2 linked regions of the Notamacropus eugenii genome follow. The protein of the gene in region 2 interacts with the protein of the main gene of each other region in a pairwise test. Links are inferred from orthologs where the notes say so. Each region holds a gene or a part of one and is shown on either strand. Other genes may lie near its edges. The genes, in order: CDK6 and CCND2.

What was found.
Region 1: the proteins of CCND2 (region 2) and CDK6 interact in a two-hybrid assay, tested with the Homo sapiens proteins (2 studies listed by BioGRID, with this or other methods). The link is inferred for Notamacropus eugenii from reciprocal best matches to the Homo sapiens genes CCND2 and CDK6.

The regions. Positions count from the first base shown.
Region 1 is NC_092874.1:47,525,127-47,539,493, reverse strand, and holds the start of CDK6 (cyclin-dependent kinase 6), read right to left. Parts: upstream 5,711-14,367; 5' UTR 5,528-5,710; coding exon 5,295-5,527; intron 1-5,294. Other genes in the region: uncharacterized protein, read right to left, coding at 5,843-5,995, 9,404-9,946. UniProt on the Homo sapiens protein: Serine/threonine-protein kinase involved in the control of the cell cycle and differentiation; promotes G1/S transition. Phosphorylates pRB/RB1 and NPM1.
Region 2 is NC_092874.1:201,062,051-201,077,144, forward strand, and holds the start of CCND2 (G1/S-specific cyclin-D2), read right to left. Parts: upstream 6,449-15,094; 5' UTR 6,271-6,448; intron 3,967-6,270; exon of another isoform or gene 3,855-3,966; 5' UTR 3,637-3,854; coding exon 3,442-3,636; intron 3,397-3,441; exon of another isoform or gene 3,168-3,396; intron 1,704-3,167; coding exon 1,488-1,703; intron 1-1,487. UniProt on the Homo sapiens protein: Regulatory component of the cyclin D2-CDK4 (DC) complex that phosphorylates and inhibits members of the retinoblastoma (RB) protein family including RB1 and regulates the cell-cycle during G(1)/S transition.

The sequences.
Region 1 (14,367 bases), about 150 Mb from region 2:
GACCCGACTGGTCTCCTCACTCAATCAAAAAAGTAAGCCTTTTTAAAGGACCTATTCTGTGTCAACCATTGTGTCAGGTGCTGGGAATACAATACAATTAAAGACAAAAAGGTAAATTTAGCCAGATCACAGTATGCACAATAGAGAGTAACAGACTAAGACTGGAAAGGTGGGGTGAGGCCGGGTTGTCAGGGGCTTTAAATGGCAAAGGAATTTGCATTTCTTCCTTGAATTAATAGGGAGCCCCTGTAGTTTATTGAGGAGGGGAATGACATGGTCAGACCTCTGATTTAGGAAAATAACTCTTCAAGCTGTGACAAAGATGAATTGGAAAGGGGAGAGACTAGAGGCAAGGCTACCAATTAGCAGGCTATTGTAATAGGCCCAGGGAGAGGTGAAAAGGGCCTGAACTACGCAGCAAAAATCACGAGGTTTTTTTGCACCAGGTTCTAGCAGAAACTACCCCTTGGGGGAGTGAGGAGGAGTAGAATCCTTCCTTGATCTCTTTCCCAGATGACTCCTATTCATTCCTCTCTAAAGCCCTGAACACCCAGCCAGGCCAAGCAATGCCCATGGATTCCAACAATGGACCCAAGGCAAAAGCAGGAAAAAACAAAACAGTAACAAGCAAGAGAAAAAGAGTAGAAATAGAAAGGGAGTCAGGGAAAAGAGAAGAGGTTGGGGAGGGATGGGACGCATCAACAATTAGCTTGTCTGACCCTGAGAGAGATTTTTTTCTGAAAAACCGGATGCCAAATCCTGCAGGGTTGTTGTTGTTTTAATTCAGAAGTAGATAGATATCTTGCCAACTAAAGGATTTACTAGGAAACTTCTAAGAGGCTCAAGGGTTCCACCTAATCTCCTTGAATAGGTAGCAGTTGCCTTTGTTTTTAATTCAGATGAACGTCCACCAGAAATTACACACAAGAGCATCCTGAGACTTGTCCTAGCACAGCCAGAATAACTTGAATAAGGACTCACCCACCAATCCCAAGAGTCTATGGGACAGCTCAGAATAAATCCATCATCTGATACTAGAAAAATAATTAGAAGTCCTCACTGCCCGTCCCTTCCCAATCCCCCATGGGGGCTCATAGAATCAGTTCTCCATAGGACAAACAGGACTTTAAATACACCTGTGTAATACACCTCAAAGTAGGCCATGTGGATGACAGAAGACTTCAAAGGAGAATCACTGGACATCTGCTCCCTGAGCTCAGCACACTACCCAGTATAGAGTGGGAAGTGAGCAAATGAGAATGAATCAAGCAATCAGATTCTATGGGGAGTGTTTCTCCTTTAAAGTCGCACAGGATTATGGCTATTTTAGTCTTTTGAGGATATTAACTAGGATGAAATGTGTTCCAGAGGCTACAACTGACAAGAATCTATTCCTCTTTATGTCCCATTCATATTCCATTCAGTTATTTCAATATAAATAAATGAGAATATAAGTATAGCAAAGTAGGTTTGTTTTGAATTTTTTTAATGGTTAGAGGTAAGATAAAAAACAGAAAACAGGTAGCCTTTAAATCAAATCCTATCTTTAGATATCCCCTCCTTGATCCAGGAAGGCTTTCCTCCTTACCTTCGCAAATACCACAGCCCTTGCAACAATTCTACTAGATGGCACATTGTTTAAAGGTGTCATCATTTCATTGTTCCATTTCTTTTTCCTTGCTGTACCCTTTAAACTAGACATATCCCCTCCCTGGCCTTATTGCTATGACAAAACAACACACAGATCACAAAGGGTATATAGGGAGACAAGCTGAAACTTCCCCATAAAGATTGTGTAGACACAGATTCCCAGGGTGAATATGGGATTTGGTATTTCAAAGGTCATTCCTGGGTCTCCGCTTTGATGACTCATCTTAAATTGTTTGAATTCTTACAGACATAGTTAGCAGTTCTTATTTACATAATATCATCCACAGATCCATAAACTGACCAGCAGGGAAAGTTGCTGAGGTAGTCATGGAGAAAACAACAGGGCCAGCCCCTCCATTCTCCTTTCCCAAGCAATGCAACATCAATGAGCTACAGATTTCTACCAGTTGCGGATAGAAAAACCACAACCCTGTTCTGTGCCTTGGTTTTGTTTTGTTTTTTTTTCATTAAAAACCATGAATCTTTACCAAGAGAACAAGATGGTGGCATGCTGATGTGATGTTGACCACACAGTGCAAGAAACACCGTTATGTTAACCCTCTCACACACATCTTCATTTCAATAATTATGAAACAGACTCTTCCCCCCAAACCTCCCCATTTCACAGACGCATATAATCTCCAAAATGGACAGGGCCTGTGAGGGCCTGAATCATTTCTGCCTTGGTACCCCCAACATCAACATCTAGCAAAGGCCATGCCAGGCCAGGCGAGTGTTTACTAGATGACCGTTGTGTTTAAGTGAACTGAATGGGAAGGGAGACGTTTTCAAGGACAATTAGGCTGACAAAGTTTAGGTTAGAATGAAACTTTTTTTTATTAAAAAAAGAACAAATCCTGATGTTGTTGATTCATTTTTAAACTACAGAGACCAGGTTTTGGTTGTCCCTTAGGACAGAGCGGTATCAATAAATGAATTCAATTCTGTCTCTCAGCGATGTTTCACCTTTTCACTACTATGGGGACACAAGGTCTGCCTAAAAGGAAATGACCGTTTTTTTTTGAGGGATTTTCATTAAGTTTTCCAGGAGTCTTTTGTGATGAAATTTCAGTGAGGAACCTGAGCCACTTGGCCAGAGTTTCTCATTTCTAGGTTATAAGGGATTTGCCTTGAAAGACATTCATTTTCCCTGGAAAGGATGCATTTTTTCCTTGGAGAGGCATTCATAGCTATGAATTAACACTTCAGACACTCTGCAAAGTGACAGAGGGAGAAAGAATTTTCTGGTATTTGGATTATACTAACAGCACATAGGGCTGTCAGGTGAGTAGGGTTCTGAATTTAAGTCTCCAGAGAAGGAAATCAAAGGGTCCTAGGACAGAGACCCAGCACTGGAAAGAAAGCTACAGGCAATCTAATACAACCTTTTCATTTTGCAGATGAGGGCTAATTAGGAAGTTGAACTAATTCACACAGGTGATAGAACCATGGTTCAGACTTAGGTGCTTGGACTCCTACTACAGAATTCCCTTTATTACACAATGCCAGGATTTAAAGAGGGCCATTAGGTGGCCAAGTGGATAGAGTGCCGTGGTCTCGAATCAGAAAGACCCGAGTTCCAATCTGGCTTCAGACACTTCCTAGCTGAGTGACCCTGGATAAGTCATTTAACCCTGTTTGCCTCAGTTTCCTCTGTCAATTGAGATGGAGAAAGAAACAGCAAATGACTCTAGTATCTTTGCCAAGAAAACCCTCCAACGCTGAAGAGTCAAAACAAATAGCTTGAGGGTTAACTGGGTTATTAATTCAATTCAATCCAATAAGTATTCATTAAGCAGCAGGATGAACCAGGTGCTAGAGACCCAAAGATAGAAAATGGCTCAATTCCTGCCCTCAGGGAACTTGCTTAGTAAAAAGGAAATGATCCGATTACAGCAAGGAAACTAGCATTCTTCTGCATGAAGAGACAGAATCAAACAGGACATTTTACAATTCAAGGTAAGGTGCGATCGTGGGAAAAGAGAGATCCAGCCCAAGAGCTCAGGGAAAATTTCTGCAGAAAAAGTACAGTTCTGTTGTCAGGGAGGAGGGGACATCAAGGAGGGCATTACCAGGGAGTGGAAAAAGTAGCATTTGAAGTAGGAGGTTCTGGCTTCACATCCCAGCCCTGGGACTTTGGCTAAATCCCTTAAACTTTTGGGGCCTGTTTCCACAACACCTTGACCCTTTAAAACTAGAATTCTATGCTATGTTCAGTCCAACCCCATATCTGGCCAGGAAATCTTCCTAAACCTAGGACAAGTGGTTATCCAGCCTTTGCTAGTAGACTTCAAGTAACCGGGAGCTGGAAGGGACAATCCTCCAAGGTGGCCCACCCCACTGACGGAGAGGAAATTTCCCCTTCCATCGACTGCTAGAATACCCACGGAGATATCTGGCTGTATTTATCAACATACTGTCATCCACAGAGTTACTCTCTGGGAAAGATGCTAAGGAAACCACGGAGACCTTAGGGAAGGTTACTCCTCATCCACACACAATCCTTCCAGAAAAAGCAGGGCTGGATGGGAAGTTATTTAGAATCTAGACGCATTCAATCTCCCCCCAAAATTGGTCGAAGGAGCCTAGAATTGAGAAGCGAATCAATCATGAAGGGGCTAGCAGAGAGCTGTAAATTAACTAACCAAAGGGCGTAATCCTACTTCTGGTAAAAAAATGACATGCAAGGCACATACACCCTTCAACAATTCAAGTATCCCCACCTCTAATGTTACACAGCACACAGATAAAATGTGGGGATGACTAGACGAGCCACGGGGCTGGTGAAAATTCTTGAAACCCGAAGCATTTTCTATAAAACTACAGAGAACTGCCAACGACTCAGCTCCACGAATGTTCTCATTTTTAATCTCTCGAAAATTCCCCACTTAGTGAAATAAAAACGTGGGGGTCCCCAGAGGGTTTCTTTGGTCAGGTCCCTAAAACGGCCCGAAGGGGCTGGCAAGGCTGGGACAACGTCATTTGGGGCACACTCGGGCTGGGCAGGCATTATTGCTTATTAATGAGTCTCTGAAACGAGGATTCCTTATTTACTAGGTGCTGGGCACAGTGCTGAGTGCTGAGGACACAAAGAAAGGCAAAAAACAGCACCCCTCTCAAGCAACTCACGGTAGAATGGAATGTGTAGCATAGAAGATAGTTCTCAAGTACAGCTACAAGTTTGGTAATGCAGCCAAGCAAGATTCCCTCCTCTAAGTCTCAGTTTCTCCAACTAGAAAATGGAGAGATAGAATACTTGAGCGGTCTATCTTGGGGGGCTGGGGAGGGGGGTGGGGAGCTGTCCTGAGGCTCTGGAGCCAATTGTCCGACAATAGCAAGCTGCACAGATTGCAAGCCAAATTCCCTCCTCTAAGCCTCAGTTTCCCCATCTAGAAAATGGAAGTATAATGGCTTGAGTTTTCTATCTTATATGCAGTTGGCCAAGGTGATTCACCCACCCGAGCCTCAGTTTCCCCACCTGTAGAATGGGGATCCTAATATTTGGGGGCACCTATCTTCCTCAGCAGCCCCACCAAGCCAGGATGGGGCCCCTGCCTGGCCTGACGAAGCCCTCTGGATCCGCGTCCTTTCCCGCCTCCGCGCGTGGCCCCCGCCGCCCCCTGGGCTGCCGGGCGCTCGCTCACCTGACCACGTTGGGGTGCTCGAAGGTCTCCAGGTGCCTCAACACCGCCACCTCGCGGATGGTGGAGAGCGGCATGCCCTCCTCCCCGGTCTGCACCCGCACGCGCTTGAGCGCCACGAAACGGCCTCCGTTCTTCAGGTCCCGGGCCTTGAACACCTTCCCGTAGGCGCCCTCGCCGATCTCGGCCACGCACTCGTACTGCTGGTCAGCCCGGCTCAGGCCGTCCTTGTCCATGCCGCCGCCGCCGCTGCGGCCGGGCCGCCGGGCCGGTGCTGCCCCGGGCGGAGGAGGAGGACGAGGAGCTGGCGGTGGAGGACTAGGGTCCTGCCGCTGCCGCTGCCGCTGCCGCCACCCGGGCTCCCGCTGCTGCCGCTGCCTCTGCCTCCGCTGCCTCCGCTGCCTCCGCTGCCGCCTCTGCCGCCGCCGCTACCGCAGCTGCCGGACGGACGCGGCGGCCGCCACCTCCTCCTCCTCCTCCTCCTGCTGCTGCTCCTCCTCCTCCGCTCCCCCTCTCGCACTCTGGGTTGCTGCTGCACACACTCCTCGCCCTCACCCCCGCGCGTGCGCCCCCAGCCCCCACGCCTCTCGCTCCTGCTCGGGGCACCCGGCTGCTCCCCACCCGCAACCCTGCTGCTGCTGCTGCCGCAGTCCAGACGATCGAGGGGTCCCGGGGGAGCGCTCCTTAATCCCAAACCATTTCACCTAAAAGAGAAGGGGGGGGAGAGAATTAAGTGCCTTCAAGCATCCTGGGGTTGGGGGCAGCTCCCGGATCCCTCCCAAGCCTCCTACCCTCCACCCCCACCTTGCCCTTGAATCCTCCAGGATTCCCTGGGCACTTGGCTGCGCTGAGGCCGGTAAGGAAACAGCCCGTCTTTCTCTCCCTGCACGAGGTTGACCTGTATTTGTACCCGAGAGCTCCCCGGAGAAGAGGCTGGGGCCCCCGCGGGGAAGGAGGGAATCGACTTGGACACAGCTTCAGCAAGGGGAGGGCGGAGGGCGCCGTGGGATCCGATAGGAAGCGGGGAGTCTGAGGGCACTCTCGTCTCCTAATCTTCACCTTTATATTCTGGGCGTCCCCAAAGCCTTTGTGGTTCTAAGCTATTAAGACTTAAAACTACTCTAAGACTATGGGGACACTAAACATAATTTGGGTGCATTTCCAAAACCTCGCACTGCCCCTAGGGAGTGGGATTTGCAAACCGGTCAAGTCAACCAACATTTATTAAGCACTTACTAAGTGTAAAATACTGTGCTAAACTTTTGTGTGTGTGTAGTGCACTACGAAAGGTGGGAGCGTTGGAGTACTTGTGAGTAAAGCCGTAGGAAGGACCCTGCGGGGCAAAATTAGGGGTGGGGGTGCAATAAAGTCTGGTTAAGGCTCCTAGGAGCAATAGCTTTTTTTTTGCTTCCAGGCCTTACTTGGGGGACTCTCCACCAAGCCCCATCTTTGAGGAGGGGGATGGGGAGACCGAGAGGGAGGATGGGAGCAATAGCATTCTTTCCTTTGACTGTGAGGACCTCCCTCCTAGAAGCAGCACTAGCCGGCCCAAGTCTCTGCCCCGCACTTACGCAGAGGAGGTGGTGCAGGGGGTTCGACAAAAGGGAGGAAACCGACTGCAGTGGGGAGAATTTCTCCCGGGGGAGCATCGCATGGATATTCCTCCATATTACCTCCTCTACAGTCATCCCAGAAGAAGATTAGCCTAATTCTGTATTTCCCTGGAATTCTTTCCAAAGGGTTCCTCCCCTAGAACAAGCCTCAACTCCCACACTCACCCTCCACCCTTTCTTCCTCTAACTACGCAGAAGGTATGGAGGGGGGGAAGAGAAGAGAGATGGCAATTTTGAGCCCTGGAGGTATTCGAGGAAGTGGGGGGGGTGGAGTTAGTTTTGCCCCGGGCGGGGCAAAGCAGCTCTGTGCCCTGTGGGCACGGACCAGCCTGGGAACCTCAGCTCTGTCGTCTTCCCTCCGAACCCTGCACAGGTCTCAGATGCCAACCAGGTAGCCGGCAATTTATTCTAACTTCGGACTTTAGGGAAATGCACTAATAGTAGCTGGAACAGCTCTAAGAAAACCCCGGGGTGTGGGGTGGCAGCCTGCTAGGAGAGATCTCCACCGGTTACAGTTTGGAGGACAATACGCCAGCCCCTGGGACCGCCTGCAGTTTGGGGGCGGGGGCCTGGAGAAGGGCAGACCCCGCTCTCCCCACCCCCATTCATCCACTCTGACCTTGCTGCTTCACCCCAACCCCCCTGCGTTCCGGGCCCTGCATTTTTCACCCCAGCAACCTCTCGGAATTGGAAGATTCTGAAGTACCTGAGAGGTTCAATCCCAGGTCCGCTCGCCTTTGGTCATTAATTACAAAGCAACAAGCGATAATGAATGAAAGTAGCGACCACAATAGACTTCAAGGAGAGCAGAAGTCAGAGAACTGTGTAAAAAAAAACCCTACACTCACACACGTCGCTCAAAGTTTTCCTTAAATGGTGAGGGCGAAATCACTGGAAACACGCTAAATAAGAGTCTCTGGGACCTCCCCACTGTGGGTCTAGGGCCACACAGGTAGCCGCCGTCGAGGCCCGGCTCTGCCATCCTGAGACACCATCCTCTAGCCCAGGGCTCCTGCCTAGCCGAGCTAGGAGCCTTTCTGTCACCAGAGGCAAAGCCTGGAGGTGTCCCACCCCCAGAGAAAAAAAATAAGCCTGAAAGTCCAAAATTGCCTCCACCCCCGTCTGGGGGAGAGGGGCTTTCTGCTGGGCTTATCCTCTCCTTGCCCCCAGCGTCTTTTTCTCCCTCACTTCTCTCTCTCTGCTTCTTAGTCTCACCTTTCCCTTTCTTTTTCTTTCTTTCTTCTGGGTTTCCCTTTCCTCTGCCTCTCCCCCTTCCCCAGCCCCCTTTCTCTGCTGCCGGCCCAGGCTCAGTCTAAGACACAAGCAGGAGAGCTGGTGCTTTTCCCCCTCTTCTCTCTCTCTCTCCCTCCCTTACTTTTTTTTCCTTGCTTTCCCACGCTGGCTGAATGTGACTTGACCCCATTTCAAAAAAGTTTGACATAGTGCTTCAACATTTCCGCATTCCTCCGCGACTACAAAGGCTGCAGCCGCCTCCTTCTGCTTTCTGTCTCGGCTCTCTCTCTTCACAGTCAATGAAATCCTTCATGTGCCTCAGCCGAAGCCTGCCAAATACCGTCAGGGTCGCCACTAGCGCAATGACAAGAGGCGAGCCATAGCCAGGGGAAAAGACACACAGCTAGCGACGCACAAATGCGCAGACGTCGGCAAAGACGTGCGTGTGCATGGATGCATACAGACCATATGTGTCCTGCACGTGGCCAAGTTAGTCGCTCCCCGGGGCACTAGCTCAGGGCCACGTATTTTTGCTAGGGTTCCAGGGCTTTGGTGAAGGGGGGGGGGTGGAGGTGGGGGAGAGTGTGCCTCTGGGGGTTTTGTTTTTTAAACGGAAGCATCACTTAGGAGCAGATGCAAATGTATATTCTAGTGTCATCTTAAAAGCATGGACGCCAACGGATTTTGGACACAAGTCCAAGGACATTTGCAAGCCTGTTGAAGTGGACATCAAGGGGCCTGTTGTTTAATTATCGCGTGGCGGGGAGTTAACAGCTCCCCCACTAGCGTCCCCAAGGACGCGGGAGAAGGAGAAGAAATACCTGGGGGGTGGGGGGATTGGGAGACAAGGGTGTTCCCTGAAGGAGATAGATACAAGGGTTTTAAAAATGCTAACTGGAGAGTGTGATGTCAGTTTAAAGTTCCTACTGGAAAAGTTCAGATGAGGCCGAAGAGCCCCGGAGCTGCAGTGTTTGTGTTTATGCCCGCGGGGAGGTGGGGGTGCAGGGGACTGGCGGGGCGTTCGGGGTCCCCACGAGTAAGGATGGGCAACTGAGCCCGGTGCCAAGGGCAGCGGGCCATACAACTGACACCCCCCCCCCAGCCCTCCCCCCGTCTGCATTCCAAAGCGTCCTTCATCCTGATCCTCGGGGGTTCCGGCGGGGAAGGGGTTAACCCGAGCCAGGGCTGCGACGCCCCCTCCCTTCCCAGGCCCCCCCAAAATCCCCTTCCCCAGGCGCGTCCCCCCACCTCGCTGAGCTCCCTCACCTGGAGGGGCCCGGCCGACTCCCCCCCGGCCGTCCAGGGAGTCAGTCCCTCCGCACGTGTTGGGCAGTCGGCGCGGAGCAGGTAGCCCGGCAGCCGGGGCCGGGGCTTGGGGGGCCCGGAGAGCCGAGACCAGCGGAGCGGCGGCGGCAGCAGCGGCGGCTGGGGCCGGGGCCGGGGCCGGGGCTGGGCCCCACTCGGGGGCGGGGGAAGGAGGAGACTGGCTCCCTCCCAGGGCCCCACCCGGCCGAAGGGAGGGGGTCGCGGGGGGACGCGAGGCACCGACTGGGGTCCCGGCTCGGAGCGCAGCTGAAGGCGAATGTGCAAATGAAAGCCTTCCGGAGGGAGGAGAGGCAACCCCAGACGGGCCGCTTCGGGGGCCCCCTCTCCTGCTCCGCTCTGCTCAGCTCCCCTCCCGCAGCCCGCACTCCCGAGCTGGGGGCGGGGAATTCCTAAATGAAAGTTTCCGGCTTTCACTGGGGGTTGGGGGGAGAAAGCGGAGCCTGGGTTCTCGGGGACCACTGGGGTGGGCTGGCCGAGGTGGAGCTACTAGATGGTAAACTCCCGGAGGGCAGCGACCTGGCCCGGGAGATGGAGCCCGGAGCCTAGCGCCGAGCCCGAGTGGGCGTGAGGAATGGAATTGGAGCTGGCCAGGCTTCTGGCTCTGTTGTGTGCTGGAGGGGGTGGGAGAACCCCAAACAACTCGGAGTCCTTCCGAGGGGCCAAGGGGGTAAACACTGCACCAGAAACTTATCATCAGGGCAAATCCAGAGCCGTGCTCAGTCCCCCCCACCCCTTTTTAAAGTGGCTGCCTGAACAGCTTGCAGAGAGGAAAACACTCTTCTGTCCGAGCACTTTTCATTTTCAGGATGAGCTACATTGTTTTTGTTTGCTTCGCTTCCTTTGGGAGCTGTCAGGCACTCGTATAGTTAACGATCTCGGTGATGAGGCTGGATGGTTCACAATTATTAAGTAATTACCAGCTGCTGAGGCTCACTAAGGCATTTCTGGTAAGCTAAAAGACTGAACTTGAGTTTTTAAAAAAAGATATAAGATAATAGTTAAAGAAAAACTAGAATGTGATTTGATGAGTTGCAACTCAGATGCATTATTTGGAATGCAGAAATATGAAACCTTTAAAAAAAAAAATCCTGACCTGCTGAGAAAACCTTAAAAATTAATTGAGATGAAAAGGAGGTTTTTGAGGGGAAAATCTTCATGATTTATTTTACAGAAGATTTTTTTTTAATGAGTGCCATATTGGAAATAGGTAAGTGTCCCAAAGCAAATGTCGTTTATTTGTGAAATTCCAGAAACACTTTAAAATCAAATTAAGAAATCGTATTTTTTTTTGTTTTGTGGGAAAAATTTTAATCCTTCAGAATTCTGATTTGCATTTGAAAATATTCTCATTGCAAATAGTATCTGGCTTTGTTGAATTAAACTTTATTTTTCCAGGCTACTGATTGCACAGTGTGATTTTTGTTCTTCATTAACAAAAGATTACATTCTATATAGCTGTGTAAGTGATAGTGATTAAGTTTTTAAAAAATCTTCAAGGCTTCACATTTGGAATTCCATTAAATCGATTATCTTAACTTATAAATATATTTTAAATGATAGAAAGGACTAATTCTGTGTAAACAAAGCTAAAATGTTACTACATAAACCTGATAATTTGAAATAAATTTTCTGTAGAGATTATCCTTTAATTCAATAAATTTGTGAACAACCTATCTTTTTTAGATAGGTCTCTAAGCAATTCACATGACTTGAAGATTTTAGAGGGTAATCTTCAGGTTCTGTGTTTTTAGAGCCATCATGAAATGGATAAAATATACATTCTGATTGTCCCATAAAATTCAAGTTAAAGCCTAAAACATACAATTGCAAGTGGCATTGGTGATTATCATACTTATTAGTATTTTTAAAAACCAAAACAGCAGAAGGGTATGGTTAATATTAATGAAGGCATTTTAAGCTAGAAGCAATTGTCAATAAATGATCACAGCCTTAACTCACAATAAGAACAGTTTCAGTAAACAAACAATTTGAAATATAACAAAAGAGCTGTGAACAGTTTCAAGATTTTCAGAAGGGGATTCTGTCTACACTGAATTCCTTTCTGTGTTGTCACTGAATTGGTCAACATTTAAATCTTGGCTGGAAATTCCTCAACTGAGTGTTATGAGAAGTCTTGCTCACATAAATCACAGTGAAACAAGTCATATATATTTTAACACAGAGTTCAGATGGTTTTATATAGTCTGCTTTCATTCATATTGCTTACCTTTTATGTTGATTTAGCCTCACTCATCCATTTTTTGGTGGTAGTTCCTTGGTTATGATTAATTTATATCCAGTTCATGTTTAAAAAAAAAAAGTGCCCAGAGGCTTATCTTAAGTTAAGTACAGTTAGTCAACACCAGAATGTTTTTGTTTATGGATAACATCTCCTGAAGGTAACAGGTTATCACAACAAAATGTGTATGAAGTTTATAAACAATGAACTAAATTTAATTTCCATTTGATGAGGTCTTCTTCCACTGAACTCAAGAACACTGACTTAATGTCAGTACTTTGATATTACCCTCATCAGAAATCCTGAGTTATAAAACCATTTTATTGATGTTATATTGGAAAATTAGAATTCCTGGATTTCATTTTCCTTAAATATACTGTTTTAGGTTGCTTTAAACTGCAAAATAAACAGATATGTAAATAAAATATTTGCAAATAATTACATTAAGATGGAATTTTTTAAAAAGGTAGTCTTCCTTAAGAATAAGGATAATTATAGCTTCTCCCCCACAGGATTGTTGTCAGATAATATATATATAATATATGATATTTTGTAAGCCTTAAAGCCCTGTGTAAGTGCCAGCTGTTATTACTGTTATTAAATTATTAAAAATATTTTGTGTTTAGTTGAAAAAATAAAAATATTTTTCAGAAAGTGATCAGTGCTCAGATGAATTTGCACCATCATTTATGTATAATTACACATTTTTCTACAGAAGCCAAACTTTCACTGTTCCAATAAAAACATTTCTTCATCATCAGTATCTTTCAACTAAGCTCCCTGAAATTGTAAACTTATGATTTTTATCTTGTAAATTTTACCTTTCTAACTAACCTAAAAGCTGCTGTTTTCTAACAGATAGTAGAATACAATGTTATGTCATATTTTTTCCGTGATGTTTTCATTTCCTTCTTTTCAAAATAGAGCCTTGACATATTGCTCTGTATTTCATGTAAAAACAAGTCCTATGTAAAGTCGTCCTACTTTCTTAAAAGTCTGAATTTTTTCATGTTTGTGTTTCAGTCTTTGATATAATCTTACTTGTCACCTATTTGAAAGTGACCTGCAGATTTTTTACCTTTTTATTGTTAACTTTGACCTGGTAAACTCTATTTGAGCATGCAAGATCAAAAGATTTTTATATTTGCTGCAAAAAGGTAAACAAAACAAAAAAGCATCCTTAGTAACTACAATCTAATAGGGCTTCAAAATTAAAAAAGAAAATACTTAGACACTTCTTACCTTTTTGAATATTGTTTTCATATTCTATCATCACTTTTTAGCATGTCCATAATATATTCATTGTGTAATTGTCCTGTTTGAGATTATCACCTAGCCTTGTTTCCTTTCCCCCTTTTGCTCAAGAATTAGATAGATATATGTATCTATATCTATATCTATATATATATATGTATTTCTACAAATACCTTTACGGGAATAGCATGCTGCTTCAACCTGTGTTGAAACAAATTCTTGAGATCCTACGCAACTTCTTTGGGAACTCTGAATAATCTGAAAAATACCACAAAATCCTATTTGTGAAAGATAATGATGATAGTTTTGAATTTTTGTCAATTTTATAGAGCCCCAATGTTTTCATTAATTTTTAAAAAGTTGTAATGATTTTATCTTTTACTTAAAGTATAACCCCAGAGTTGTATTGCCATCACCGTCTTTGGTTCTATCAAAAGATGTGAGGAGGATTTTTTTAGATTAAATAATTCAGATTAGCCATTCAAAATACCAACCCTTGTGGTAGTGGTGATAAAACTGTAGATAAACAAAAGGCAAGAAAGTCATCCCTGGATAGTGTCTTTGGTGAGCTGCTGGACATACACAGGTACCTGTGAGTTAAACATATGTGTTAAGCACACGATGAGATTGTGGGGGCAATAGATTGACTATGAACACACTAGATAGGGAACATCTAGGCAACCTAATGTTTTTTTTAGAAGGAATTGCATTTATGTCTGTCTCATTATGCCTTATTAAATAAGATTATCTAGCTGATGTATCCATATTCATGAAATTCTGATTTATATTTTCTTATTTTATATTTTCCCTTGGTACACAGATAACATAGATCAGCTATAACCCCTTGGCCATTTTGAAGAGCATGGCATCATTCTGTGAATCAAAGATTTTACCATTTCTTTTTCAACCTCTACTATCAACCAACTAGTTTCTTCCTAAAGTCACTTAAATCCTCTCTTTCTAGTTTCTGTATCTATGAACTGAGGGCAATTTTTTCCTCCAAAAAAAAGAAAATCAACCCTTTGCCTCTGGAATTCTCATACCTTTCCCCTATCTCCATCTCTAAGGATGCCTCTAGAAATATGTTTATAAGTCATCAGGTGAACAGTTTTCATGAAATTTTAATAAAGGTAAATGTACTAATTCTAGTATCATTATAGGTAGATGGTTTCTGATCTGTCTCAGAAAAGACCAGTCCTAAATAGTGCAGAATATGACTGATGATGACTTTGGAATAGGCAGAAGAATATTTAAACACACTTGGTATTTGCTTTTGCTTAAAGAGATGGTTTGAGGATTCAGGTAACTGGGAAATCTGGCTTCCTTGGCTGAAACCAAATCAGATTTCTGGTTGTTACTTGGTTCAAATATTGGGTAGACATTAATGATTATTTACATGAAAAAAAATACT
Region 2 (15,094 bases):
TGTCCTAAGCAAGCAGAATACCTTGCTTGTTGAATCAAAAGTCATTTTACAAAATGTCAGCCTGGTCCATTAGTTTGCTGTCTTGCACAGAGGATATGATTAAAGAATATTTGTTAAATGGAACACATGACTTCTGACTTTGCCAGTCAGTGTGTTGAAATGAATGGAGCTGTCACTGATGTTGACATCTTTCTTCCGGCTCTTATGAATTGATATGGGCACATTCCATTACCCACAGAATAATAGCCTGGTCCCCAAACCCAACAGTTTCCCCTCCATAAGTTCCAAAGTGAGCTTCAACTATTTTTGGAAACTGGTGAAATCCTGAGGTCTTACTGCCTACAAAGCTAGGTTGAAACCCCAGCCTTAAGTTCTATAAAAGGATATTGGTGCAAGAGCCTTTTCTTGCACAATTTTAAAAAGAGATATCTCTCTAGAGGAAACCACTTTTCTTCAGCCTCAGAGAAGCAGCTGAAATTTGGCAGTGTTTCAAAGGTGAAGTCATTCACTGCCTCTGTCTATATACCCCTTGGCAAATCGTTCCTCCCACCTCTAGGGTTATGAATTTCTGCCACTAGATGGCAGCACAGCCCCAATAGGAAAGCCCCCCTTTACAAGTTAAATGAAATCTCCTTAGAAGAACCCCAAACACTTTTTATAGATCACAGAGCTGGAAGAGACATAGACCTAGTCCAATTCCTGGTATATGAGAGAAACTTCTGGGAAAAAGAGAAAGGATGTTTTGTATAAAAATGAGAGAGAAAAAGTTTTCAGTACTCTTAATAAAGTCGAGGGGGGGTAGAAGGGGGAGGGTGGTGTCTAATAAACCAAAAAGTTCCATGGCAGGGATCAAGCAGGGCCACTGGCTTGTAAGTCCTCAATACTCTCCCCTTCTCCTCCCAACCTGGTGCAAAAAAAAAAAAAATCAAATATTGCCAAAAAAAAAGTCTAACACTTTAGTGATGCTAAAAACCAAAGGTCAAACAAATATTGAATATTCTACTAGTCTAAGGTATCATTGGGATAAAAAGTATTATGAAATATGGTCCCAGCTCTCAAGTTGTTTACTAATACCGTAAGTCTGGGCAAGGGACTCCATCACTGAATGTCTCGGTTTCCTCATCTGTAAAATGAGGGGGTGAAATTGATGAGATAACCTCAGAGATCTCTTCCAGCTCTAAATCTACAATCAAGTCAGGCTCCAACAGTGGTCATCTGAAGTTGGATGACTATTTTCTCAGTATCCAAACATTAAAATAAAATCTGCAGATTAGCAGACTCCCATCATCATTCCTCTCACCAAAATACCTACTATTACCAATATAAAGTATACATTTAAACAACTCAGACTTGGACCTTCTTGTCTTGAAGGAGACCTCACCCACAAGAAAGTTATCAGCATAAAAGAGTAAATGGAAGAATTTAGGAAGATGAGGGACAAGAAAGGGGCTAAGGCTGAATGGAGAAGAGACGGAGGCATTAATTACCAGCAGCTCTTGGGGTTTGACAGAATTATCGGTATAAATGCAGAGTTTCTCTGCCGTCAGGGGGATTGTTTCCTTCAGCTTAGAGGCCAGGAACATGCAGACAGCACCCAGAAGTTGCAGACGGCACTTAGGAGTAGGCACCCCAGCTAAGAACCGGTCCAGGTAATTCATGGCTAAAGGGAAGACCTCTTCTTCGCATTTCTGCTCTTCACAGACCTAGAATGGGGGGGAAGGAGGGAGAGGAGAAGACAGCATTGGAGATAGAAAGAAAAAGGTTAGAACCAGAATACAGTTAACCAACTCAAACGATTTCATTTCAGGGGGTGGGGAAAGGCTGCGGATGTGATGGAGTGATAAGATTAGAGGCAGAGGAAGTTATAGACAGCTGACCAGGTATCTGACATCCCGATTCCATAAAAGTAAAAAATGGAAATGAATTAAAATCCCCAAAATTAGAGGAATAAGCAGTAGCCTGCCCATTCCACTTTTCTCTTGCTACGTAGTACTTTTGCTGGCTCTCCCCCTCCTTTTTAAAAATTTTCTTCTTATTAAAAAATAAAATCAAAATGATCCAAGTAACTTGGTTACATTCAGACCCCAGGACCCCCTGCTCTATTATTTCTTATGTTTGAAAGAAATGCTTGGGGAGGTGTGTGTGTTGGAGGGGTGGGGGTGGATCGTGGCCCCGAGATCCAGTAGTTGCTAGTGGGGTGCGGGTGAGGGTGAGGGTGGAGGGGGGGGAAGGAAGGGAAGTCGCAGTTCCAGCAGCACAGAGCTGCAGAAGTTGCCGGGGCTGCTTAAAAAATTTACTAAAAATCGAGGAATACTCCCAGAGGAGCCCTTTCAGCACGAAAACCCCGAGAAGGGTTCGGGCTTTCCGAATCTGTGGGTTGGGGGTGCTTGGGCACTTTTATTTTGACCCCTTAGAATGCTTCATTACAGAGGTCCGACTAAGGAGCAAGTGACCGCTAAGTCCCGCTGGGCCCCACCAGGATCAGAGCAAGGAAAGGTAGTGGGGGTGGGGTGGAGGAAAGAGAAACTGAGGGTCGGCAACCGTCTTACTTCTTTTAGGGGGGGTCCCGAACCCCTTTCCCTTCCTTCCTTACCCCACCCAAAGCTCCAACGCACGAAGCAAACTTGTTAAACCGAACTCTTTAAGTAATCCTTCCAGGGGCGTGGGGGTGGGGGCAGAATAAAGAGACAGAAGAGGGGCGCTGGGGTGGGGGTGGGGGTCCTCGGGAGGTCCGAGGGCAGCTTTAAACTTCTTGAACCCGAATTTGCAAAGCAACATGGCGAAACCACGGCAGGTCTGGGGCTATGCATACGTGGGCACATGGAGAAACTTACTTGGGCAAAGTTTTGAGTGGGGGAGGAGAAAGTTGTGTGTGAGTGTGAGTGTGTGTGTGTGAGTGTGTGTGTGTGAGTGTGAGTGTGTGTGTGTGAGTGTGCGGGGGGGGGGGGGGCATCTTTGCCTCCTTCGTTCTCAGCCCACTCCCCCTCCCCCAGCCCACTCTCCCATGCCAACAGCGGAGCCCCGACCGCATGCGGAGACTCGGGGCTGGGATACATTGGCTTTTTACGCATTTCTTTTTGCAACTTTTCCGCTCCCATACCCATCCGCGCAGACAAGCACACGCGGGCGCGGACACCCACATACACACACACGCACACGCACACGCCGCAGACACGCCGCAGGCTCGGGGCTGGAAGCAGAGAAGCACACGCGAACCTGCACACGCGTGCTGGCTCCCAAGCCTGACCCCCCCCCCCCCCCCGGCCGCCACCCCCAATCCTGCTTCGCGCACGGATCATAAAAAAAGGCCACGAGTCCAGCAAAGCGCGCGCGGCACAGCCGGGCGTAGCGGGAGGGTGCGCGCTGCCCGAGCTCCAGAGGCCCCCCGAAATCGAGGTGGGAGGCGTGCACGGGGCAGGGGGAGGGAGGGTCCACACCAACCTCCAGCATCCAGGTCGCCACCATTCTCCTCATGTAGGGCTGGATGTCCTTTTGCACGCACTTGAAGTAGGAGCACTGGGGTAGGTAGCGTTCCTCGATGGTGAGCAGGTTAAGCAAAACGCGGTCGTCGAACAAGAGGCTGGGGTCCGGCACAGCCCTCCGGATGGGGTCCACCTCGCAGCACAGCAGCTCCATGACGTTCCCAAGGAGCCTGCTCCTCTTTCCTCCCCGCCCCCCTCCCTGTCCTCCAGATTAGAAAAGGTTTTGGGGGGTGGGGGCTCTTACCTCCCTCTTTTAGAAAAAGAAGGGGGGGCTGGAAGGGGAGGCGAGGAAGAGGCTTTAAGAGGGGCTGCCGCACTCGCTCCAACAGCTCTCCCTTCAAACTTTTCTGGTCTGTCTTGGGCTCTTTCCTCCTGCAGAGGAGGCAGTGACGTAAGCCGGCCGGGCCGTCAGCTCCCCTCCCTCTCTCCCTCGACTCACTCTCCTCCCCCTGGTTCCTCCTCCGCTCCTTCTTTCAGTCTCCCTTCCTCCCTCCCTTCCCCTCTCGTTATTATGGAGAACGGCAGCTGGTCAGACGTAACCTCCAACGCTCTGCCCCCTTTCTTTTCTCCTTTGCCCTCTCCCTCTATCCGCTCTAGGAAAAAAGGAAACGGGGGCCCACGTATAGGGGTAGCCCCCACCCCCCAAAAATGACAGCTTCCCGTTTCACCTCCTTCCTCCACTTTTTCAATGAGCCCTATCATCCGGGGTGTCCCAAAAGTCTCAGTGCAGTCTGTGTACGCGCTGAGGGTGGGGGGCGGGAGGGTTCCCATTTCTTCCTGCAAAACCCCGCCTCCTCTCACTTTGACTTTCCTCTGTCTGTCTCCAGATGCTTGGATAGGGAAGGATGGATGCCAGGGAGGGGGGAAGGGGACAATTTTGAAATGGATCTTTTAAGTGGAAATCGGAGTTTGATTTTAACAAAGTTATTGCACGCCCACGTTCAGACAGGGTGGATGCAGGCTCCCGGAACGCCAAAGCTCCACTCCCAGGGAACTTGGGCTAGAAGGGCTCAGAACACAATGTCCCGTCCCCGCCTCCCCTGCGGAGTCCCGCGCGCGCGCTCGCTTAAACCACCTTCCTTTCCTCTAGACGAGCCACAGGAGGAAGAGGAAGGGGGACGGGTCCAGGGAGGGTGGATGCACCCCCAGCAGACAGGAACTCCAAGCGGGAAGCATTCTACCGGGGTGGTGTGCGCCTAGGCGGGGGGCGGGGAGGCCTGAAGCCATTGGCCGGAGAGGACGGGAGCTCTTAGGATAAGGAAGGTCGGGAAAAAGAGGAGTTTGGCAGCAAGCCGGAACCCGAGGACCCAGGGATTCCCCCGTAGCCAGCATTCGGGAGCTAAAGCCCCCTCTATCAACTTTTGCCTCTATCTGCGGAGAAGCAGCCGGAGGTTTCTGACCACACAGACACAGCTTTCTAGGAAATAGAGGGGAGGTGGGGGAGGGGACTGATTAGATTTAGCTCCCCTCCCCCCACACCTTTCCTTCTTCGCAAAACTATCTCCGCAGTCATTTGCGTTCCCCAAGGATGCGTGGTTGGCATACTTCGTTTTCTTTTTATTAGGGCTATTAAGTGCACGGACCCTCCCTCTAGGGCTACGGCTGTTCTCTCCCATTACCTTCTCCCCCCACCCCCACCCCCACCCCCAGCATCCAATATTAGGAAAAGGGGATGTCATCTTTCCTATCTCCTAGCCACGCCCGTAGGGCAGAGTTAGCACGTGCTGAGGGGTAACCGGGCGCCACTGGGCTCTTCTCCCACCCTTGAAGCGGAGGCAGAATGATTTGCAAGCTTTAATGAGAAAGAGCCATGTGAGGGCCAAGGGGGTAGGTGGGGAGAAGGTGATGCGATGTGGAGGCGGTGAAGTTGGATGATCTTGTTCAAGAGTTTTTCGTGTAGACCAAGAGAGGTAGAGTAGCAAAAGATAGGTAGAGGTGGAGAAAACCCAAAGTACAGGCGATTAATTCAGCCCCTTTAAAAGAGGGTGGGGCGGAAGGGGTGGATGGTTGAGGGGAGGGGGCATATCACTTTAAAAGGGTGAGTAAGAGTTTGGGGAGCTGTCTCTCCCCTCCCTCTATTTGCATAGCCAATAGCTCAGAGACTCTTGCTACTGCGCGCTGAATGTTACTGGGCAGATTACTTTTTTTTTCTTAGTAGGAAGCATTCCCCTCTATATCAAAAGAAAGCAAAGTTGGCGAGAAGAGAAGAGGGGGCTGGGGAAAGGAAGGAGGGACCTTCAAGACCTAATCAATAGGGGGACAATCGGTGTCGGATCTACTCTGTGGGAGGGCAGGAATAGAAGGATATGGAATTGCTAATTGGAAACCATTAACTTTGTAGAAAAAGAAATTAAAAACTCGCTGGCAAACCCAACTTGCAGACTTGAAACTGTTCTGCGCCACAGCTGACCCTCGGTTTGAGTATAGTACTACTGGGAATACAGTCAATTCATTGAAACTATTGATTTTAGTCAGCTTGGAGTTTCCGACTGGGGAGTTGAGTCACTCAGGATAAATAAACATCTCTTTTTTAAAAAGCCATTGAGAAATAACTCAAAACTTCACCTAACCTACAGATCAAACAGCCGTGATCTCGGGGGGCGGGAGGGTTGAGCAGAGAATGGAAGAAAGGAGGGAGGCGTATTTTAAAGAAAAGATGGGTAATTGGGTAATCAAGGACAGAAGCCAGGGACAGTTTCCAACCCGACAGTGTGTCATTCATATTCTGCATTATTTGATAACTGGTCACAGTCCCTGCCCCATCCCCATACAAGAAAATGGAAAGTACCGTTCTTGTAAGATGCGCTGTGGTGGGATGAGGCGAGTCTCAGTTCCCCCAGGCCTTACTCACTCCGGGGGAGGGAAGCTGGGGTGGCGAGTCCTAGAGGCTTTGGGGGTAGGCTAAGATGCTAAGTCTGCTCCGTCGCCCTTCCCCCTTCTCTCCTAGCCGAGTCTTGCTTTACTTTGAAATACCAGCAAAAGGAGGCTGAGGAAAGAAAGGGGGAGGGGAGAGGAGGGACAAGAAAGAAATCTCCGATTCTGCCCTTCATTCATTAAGATCGTGGGCTCGGGCAAATTCCGCTTGGCAGGCTAAGTCCACGAAAGCCTCTTTAAAAGTTTCTTCCTTCCCTTCTTCCCATTACCGACTTGTTCTCATACGCTAGCAGCGCCCTTTATCACTCTCCGGTCTCCAATTTTTCCCTCGTGGGGGAAGGGGGTTTGTCCCCACGAGCGGTCTATGGCATTTACAGGGTCTAAAACGTTGCATTAAGAACAAAAAAAAACCCAACCCCAAAATAAAAAAGGACTACAGCGCTAAGAAGAAAGCAGTTTGGTTTCTAGGCAACATACACAAAAAAGCGCATTTTGGGGAGCAGGTCAGAAGTTACTTTAAGTAAGTGCTTTGGGTTTGACTTGGAGGTTACAACAATCTCTAGGATCCAAGTTTTTCCCGATGTGGGTTCTTGTCCCTTCTAGCAGCTCCGCTCCACAAAGAAACGTGCCCAGTAGTTTCCAGCTGAATTTTGGGGAATAAACGTTCTCTCGTCTCTCTATCACCCCCGCCCCTTCTCCACGTGTTTGTGCAGTTTCGGTTGGAAAGTGTACAAAACGCTGTAGGGGCAGGGACCAGCCCGGCGTTCCGAGCCGCGTGGAACCGCGCAGGAATCCGCAGTAACGCACTCACCTGGCGAAGACACCCCGGCCAGGTGAGCTCGGAGCTGGGTGAAAGTTTAGAGGCACGTGTTCCAAGCACAGAGCCAAAGCCTCCAACTGCAAACAGTGTGCCACCGAGCCACAAGCTGGGAGAAGGGGGGACGTTTCCTCCGTTAGCCAAACTAGGAGGTCGAGATGGGGGGGAGGGCACAGGGGAGAAATAATCCTTTCTGGAATAAGTGGGTGTTTTGTTATTTCACGAGAGGAAAGATGGTCAGAGAACTAAAATATAATTAACCCTAAGGTCATTTGAAAATTAATCTCAGCGCAAAATTATTTCTCTCCTTTGGAGTTTTTTTGACCTAGAGGAAAAGGGAAGAAGGGGAGGAAAAGAAAAGAAGAGGAAAGGAAGGGAAATGAGAATCAAAGGAGAATGTGGTGGGCATGGGTCGTGGACTACAGCCACAGCGTCAGTGTGCCCAGCCCTGGGCCGGGAGCACAGGTATGAAAGAGGGAGCAATCCCCTTTCGGATCCCCAGGGCGTTTCAGGTGAGAGGATGGGGCGGGTCTTGTGTGTGTGGGTTTCTTTATCTGTCTGATTATTCTGTTTATTTACTATATTTTAATGCAGACTCGCGTTTTCTTCCGAAAACAGCAGATGCTGCCGGGGCATTGTAAGAGGCTCCCCGCTTGCCTTATGCTCACCTACTAGCACCCCACTCTTCTTTCCGGGAAAAGTAAAGATGAATAAATAAAAGGTCAAAACTTTCCACGGTTCTCCTGTCTGATTCAGCCTTTCACACTTCCCACAGGGCCGGGAAATTTATTACAGCTTTAAGGAAATTTATTTTGCAACCATATGGGTGGTGGGAGTTCTCCTTGAAGGAGACAGCGCATCCTGGAGTGCCCCCGACTCCCCGGGAGGAAAAAAACCCCCATCCTCTGCATTCCGCAGCTTTCTGTCCTGGGGCGCCCTGCTGGCCACCGCCCCCCAATTCATCCCCGTGGGGGGCCAGGAGGAGGAGGGGGCGCAACCTTGGCAATCCCTCCTCTGCAGCCGCCACGCGGCTTTTTCGAGGAATTTTGACGTCATTCGCACGTGGGGGGAAGGGGCTGGGAGAGCAGAGGAAGCTGTCGGGGAGAGGGGGAAGGGTGTGGAGGGAAGCCGCAGCTTGGGGTGGGGGGTGTTGGCCGAAGGGTCCCCCCCAGCCTCCCCGGCTTGGGCCAGGCTGGCTCCCCGGGGTCTGGCCGACAGCTGTGTGTGCAGGAGCTGCCTTGGCCACTCGGGTCCAGAGTTGCAGCGGCTGCTCGGCCTGCAGCTCGAGACCCTTCACCGCCCTGGAAGTTTCTTTTACTTTGAGCTCAGGGGCGAGCTAATTCTGCTGGGGGGGTGTGTGTAACCCCCCCCCCCCCCGGGCGTCTGTTCTGTTGCCTCTGAACGTGGAGATCTGCTGATGATCGCGAGTGTAGTCCCTGACCGTCTACACCCCCGCCCTCTCCTCCCCAAAGTCCAAGCACAAGTAGCTCGGAAGGAGAGCCGCCTCCCTGACCTAGGGACCTTTGGGCTAGCGCACAAGTGAGCAGGCTGTTCTGCGGCTCAGGTAGCGAGCTCCAGACAGTGGACTTCACCGAGGCAGCGTTCATGCTCGGCCAACTCCTCCGCAGGCTGCCGCCTGGAAGCCTGGGGGGCTCGGGTGGGAGGGGGTTAGTCAGAGGAAAGCCAGGGGAGGTGGAAGCGCTGCTGCTGGTGCTCTCTGGGGCTACCCATCCACTCACGTCAGTTACAATGCACCATTTGACCTAGCCCCACTGACCAAGGGCAGAGGATGCCCGAGAGGTGAGGGGGGCAGAGGATGCCCGAGAGGTGAGGGGCGCAGAGGATGCCCGAGAGGTGAGGGGCGCAGAGGATGCCCGAGAGGTGAGGGGCGCAGAGGATGCCCGAGACGTGAGGGGCGCAGAGGATGCCCGAGACGTGAGGGGCGCAGAGGATGCCCGAGACGTGAGGGGCGCAGAGGATGCCCGAGACGTGAGGGGCGCAGAGGATGCCCGAGACGTGAGGGGCGCAGAGGCTACCCCACTGGTACCCGGCACCTGGGGCTGTGATTCCTTAAGTGTAGACTTAACCGGTGATTGATTACCTTCTTCAAAGCACTGCTGAGCCTTTTTAACCTTTCCTGTGGGGTGACTTTGGAGGAAAGTTCCTTTCCCAAAGTCAGGCTGGCAGTTTCTGAGTTTCTAGTGGAAGGATTTAAAACTGGGACCCTGAAGGGGCTTGAGGTGTGGATTTAGGTGGAAGGTACACACAACCAAATAACAGGAAGTAACAGTGTAAACTTGTATTTATATCCATAGGCAAGTTTGCTGTACCTTTGAGGAAATGGTTTGGAGCTGAGCTCTTGGGGAAAAAAAGGGTAGCCCTGAGGGTAAAATCATTTGTCTCAGATTGGGAGATGGAGGATTATGGGGCTTGAGTACCCCAGTTGGGTGTCATGGGTATTATGAGGTATCTAGAAACATTATTTTTAAAAGTTGTCAGAGTTCAGAAGTATTCTTTTAAAAAAACATTTTTTGCTTTTCTTTTAATCCCTTTTTAATAGCTGCTGATGAGACTCAAGCAAATATTTTATAATAACCTCTGAAGAGGAGTAATTAGTAAAAGTTACAGTTTCTTAAATGTGTTAATGTTATTGGTGGTTGGTTGTGGTTGATTTGCATCATGGTGCCTGATTTGACCCACACTTGATTTGTATGTGGAAAGGTAGGAAGTAAAATGGTTTAGTAAAAATTAATGAAGAAATAAAAAGTGAGTGTAATTTAAAAACTGAAAGGGCCAAAGGAATTGTATGAGGGGCTGAAAAGTCATGTGTCTCTAAAATTTTATTTAGATTCATTATTGAGTTTCTGAAAAGCTGAGCCAAGTTCTTTTTAAAAGAAAACTCTTACTGGTTTTTCAAGACCATATCCAGAGATTGTTTTGTAGAATAATTGCAATTTGTCTTCACATTTAGTTTTTTAATCAGCAATTGCAAAAGAAATTCATCCTCATCTTCCAAAATCTATTTCCTAGTAAAACTGAGTCTACTTCTGATTTTGTGGTTTTCTTTATCATTCACCAATTAAAGTTAACAATTAAAACAAAATTGAACCTGGTTATATTTTCTAATAATTTCACATTTTGTTTTCAAAACACAAGGTTTGTTGCCTTGTTAGTAGAACATCCATAAGAAGGTTGAACATCCTGATGTTGGATATTAGTCATTTTTAAATCAAAGAATAAAAACTGGGCAAATAAGTAGTATTTAGTTTTCATGGTTTGCTTTTTGTTTTTGTGGTAAAATGATTTTTAAGTCTTTCTAAGTTGTTTTCCTTTATAATGTTATAGTCATATAAATTCTTCTCATGGTTCTGCTCAGTTCCTTCTACATCAATTCTTGCAAGTATTCCACGTTTCTCTGCATATATTCTTATGTTACAGCAATATTTCAGTCCTTTCCATTGCACATATATTGTTTAGTAATTATTTTCTTTTAATGCTTTTTTGCAGAGTTTAGGTATGTTGAAATCAAGTAAATTTAAAGATACAAAGCAGGTTGCTCCCAGAGTTTTGTAATCTGCAAAATGTTTTAGGATTGACCTGAATATATGCATTTTACATTCTGTTGAACATAGTAGAAGTCCATCCATTCTAGATGTATTTCCTCATTCACCTTTAACTAAGATCATCTGTACTTATGTTAACTTGAAACAATATTGGTGCCCAGTCATAGCCAAAACAGATTAGAAAATCAACCCTTCTACTTTGTTGTTGTATGTGATCGAAGATGAAATTAGGGTAGAAAATTCAAGCTAATTTCTAATGTGATCTACCTTAGGTCACATTTTCATTATGGCTAGATGATCTCTGAGTCAAATAATTCTTTGTGGGATTTCGAGGTGAATTCCTGAGTGGGCATCAAATGTTGGGGGAAATCACAGAGAACAGTTAAGATTAGTCATGGCAAACGACAGGAGAGTCAGAAAATTATACTTTAAACATGCCACTGGTTTGGGAATCTCACTGATGTGGATATATCTTTCCTTGTGGATGATAATAATATTCAGACAGTAGTAACAGGACTGCCCTGCTGATCCGTGTCCTGTTCTGAATTTCCTTCGGCTTTCTTCTGGCTATTTTTTAAATGTTGGATTGCTGTTTATTTCTGTTATTTATTTTCACATTGCTCTCTCTGCCTACCAACTTCCTTTTCCTTCACATAGAAGCCTTCCTTTTTAATAAGAAAATACAATTAAGCAAATCAATCACTACATAAAGTGTGTGTCTCATTCTGAACTTCTAGTCCATCAATGCAACTTCGAAGTATGTTTCCTTAGCAATTTTTTGACATCATGATTAGTTATTGTATTGATCAGATTTTAAGTCTTTTTTTTTTTTAATAAAAATGATAATTTATCTAAGTACTTTCTTCAGGAAGCTGTAGGATGATTACTTAATGTTTCTTGGTAAGCCTGTAGAGTCAACTCTATATATTCTCCCTTTTGTGTTTCTGTTTTTGCAAAGATCTTAAGTCTCATCCCTAAACTCCTTATTTTTTAGCTTGCTTAGCTGAGGGTCCATATGGATGGAGCATGTGATACAGAACCACCAAATTTGTGGCATCATCCATTAAATCTCTCTGAATCTGGTCAATCAGCAAACCATCAATCTTTTTCTTATTTATCATTCCACCAAAGGGTCTTGTTGAATGCAGTCATGTTTACTTTACCATGCTTCATATGTCTAGTGATGAATTTTAACATAATTAGTTGAATCTGGCTCAAACTGCACAACACAGAGATTGAGGACATCTTTGTCACGATGCTGATTGAACAAAGTTGGGAGATTTTCTTCCTGGAACATTAGTGGTGGAAAAATCTTGTGATCTTCTTTTGGGGAAAAGACCTGTATCATTCTGTCTTCTTTGCTTTCCAGGGGTCTTTGCATAGAACACAACCACTTGGTCCCCTGACAACAACGAAACACTCATGGCGTGACAATGCTAAATGTTAAATCAGTAAACACAGATTTGGCAGTATTGGTTCCTTCAAGGATTTTATCATCTGCTAATGCATCATTTGTTGGCTCTGTTCCTTTCAGTACAGGAGGCATTTTTAGCCGTTTTTTAGCTGCCTCAATGGCCTCTCTACCGTTGTGTTTCTGTCATTACCTTATATGTTGGTGGCTTAAGTTGCTGCTTTATTGGTTTAAAAACCTGTAAATGCAAACCAGCCATTTTGGTGATTATACTTTGAACTTGATCATCTGTGAATTCTGGATTGTCTCTGAGCAACAAGTTAGTCTCAGAGCCCACATGACAACAAGAAGAACCATCCCACAGGACCTGGCCAAAATCAGGAGCAGGGTTTGAGGCAGGGGTCTGATCCCCTGAAACCCTGAGCCCCAGGATGCTGCCAGGGAGAGCCAAAGGGAAGTCAGCATCCTGAAGGCCGCCATTACTTCACCAGCCATCCACTCCGGCCTTTCTTGTCTTTTAAAGTTGTTTCCTTTACAGTGTTGTAGCTTGCTGTTTTTCTGGTTATGCTTAGTTCACTTTGCAACAGTGCATGCAAGGGTTCCAGATTTCTCTGAATCTATCATGTTTCTATTTCCTAGGGCATAATAATATTCCATCACATTTATACACCATAATTTGTTTAGCCGTTTTCCAATTGAGGGATACTCATTTTCTTTACAGTTTTTTGCTGCTATAAAGTGTGTGCACATGGGTACAGTGTTTTGTTCTGTCTTTAACTTCTTTGGGGGTCTCGTTCAAAGAGCAGAGCCAATTTAGTGACTTTTAGTTGCAAATTGCTTTCCAGGATAGTTGGATCAATTCAGAGTACCAAGCTTCTCTAACTTTTTTCATAGCTTCATAAGATTGAGAGTTGGAAAAGACCCTAGAAAGGATTTAAACCAACCTTACTTTACAGAAGATGATACTAAGGTCCTAAGATATATAGTCACTTCCCGTAGGTCACACAGGCAGTAAGAAAGAAAGTCAAGTTTGGAATTCAAGTTCTCTCACTCCCAAACTAATGTTCTTTCTTCTATATCTTGAATTCCCTGTAAACAGTTTTATTTTTAACATTTTTAAAAAGCACTTAAAAGCAAGGTTGTCCTGAACAAATTCAGAACCACTGTTTTATAAAAGAAAATGTTTGTATAATCAATCTATACTTTTTTATTGATGCCTTTTGTTTTTATATTTTGTCCCTGTTCGATGAGCCTTCCTTTGTAATAAAGATTAAAAAAGAAAAGAGAAAAAAGTAATTCAGCAACATCAACCAATATGTCAACCATATTTGAGAGTATAGTCAGCATTCCACACCACTAGTGTCCCCCTCAGTGGAGTGAGCAGAGTTCATTTTTTCACCTCTCCTGGGTTCAAGTTTGATCATTTTAATTATATATCATTCAGTTCCATTTTATTGTTTTTCTTTTTTGAAATATTGAAGGCATGTTTTTCCTGGTTCTGAATCGATTCATTTAAGTATAATGAGCAATGGATTTTGTTATTTTCTTTTTTTTGTTTTTTCCTCTCCACATTTCATTTAATATTTAATTTAATTTTAAAATTTTCAACACTTTTTCAAGGATTAATCATTCACGCTTTTCTCCTTGCCATCCCATCCTCCACTAAAAAAAATACAAAATCCTTGTATCAAATAAACATAGTCAAGCAAAACAAATTACCACGTTGCCCACCTCCAAAAATATGTCTCATTATAAATATTAGTATATCATATCTCTGTGAGGAAATGGGTACTATTCTTCCTCATCTTTCCTATGGAATGATGACTGATTATTGGGTTGGTAAGAGTCTTTAAGTCTTTGAAAACTGTTCATTTTTACAATGTTGTTTTTACAGTATAAATCATCTTCCTAGTTTTTCTCACTTCACTGTGCTTCAAGCTCTACATATCTTTCCAAGTTTCTTCATTTTTTATAGCACAAAATTATTACATTTCATTTATATGCTATCATTTGGTTCAGCCATCCTCCAATTGATGGGTACCCTTTTAGTTTTAAATTCTTTGCTACCACAAAAATATCTGGTATAAATATTTTTGTACATACAGGACATATTCTGCTTCCTCTGATGTCCTTGGGGAATAGGCTAGATATAGTATTGCTGTGTCAAAGGGTACGCACAATTGAATAATTTTGGGGGCATAGTTCCAAATTGCTTTCTAGGATGACTACGCCAATTCATAGCTCCACCAATAGTGCATCAATGCATCTATTTTCTGTGGTTCCTCCAACTTTTGTTATTCTTTTCGAAGACACAGCTTTCAGTTTGCTTATTGGCCTTTTTGTTTTTCATTTTATCTCTCCTGTAATTTTCAAGGTTTTCTTTTTGTTCTTTTGAGTTTGTGCGTCTATTAACCTTCTAGTTCTTTAAATTGCATTCTCAGTTATTCTCTTTTTCTTTGCATTTTATTAATGCATATTTTTCAAAGGCAAAATTTTTCCTTGGAGGAATCCTTTAGCTGCATCCCACAAATTTTGGTAGATGTTCTCATTATCATTATTGTTCACATAGTTATTAAATCTTTTTATGATCTGTTCTTGGACCATAGAACTGTTTAGAACCCTAAATAAGGATGTCATTATCAAGTCTCTGTTCGTCTGTCTCTTTTGCTTGTGTTCCCTGTATTAATTACCATTTTTATTGGGTTATGGATACTTTTAATATTTTAATTTTGTTCACTTATTTATAGTTTCTCTATGCCCTAGCAATGGTCTATTTTTATAACGTACTATGTAGTAATGAGAAATATGTATGTTATTTAATGTTCCTATCCAAAAGATGACTTAAATCTTTCAGATCTAATTTCAACAGTTTATTAAATTCTATATTTTCCTTTTTGTTGATCTTTCTGTCAGATTTTTCCAAATCTAAGTGAAAACCTTAAAGTCT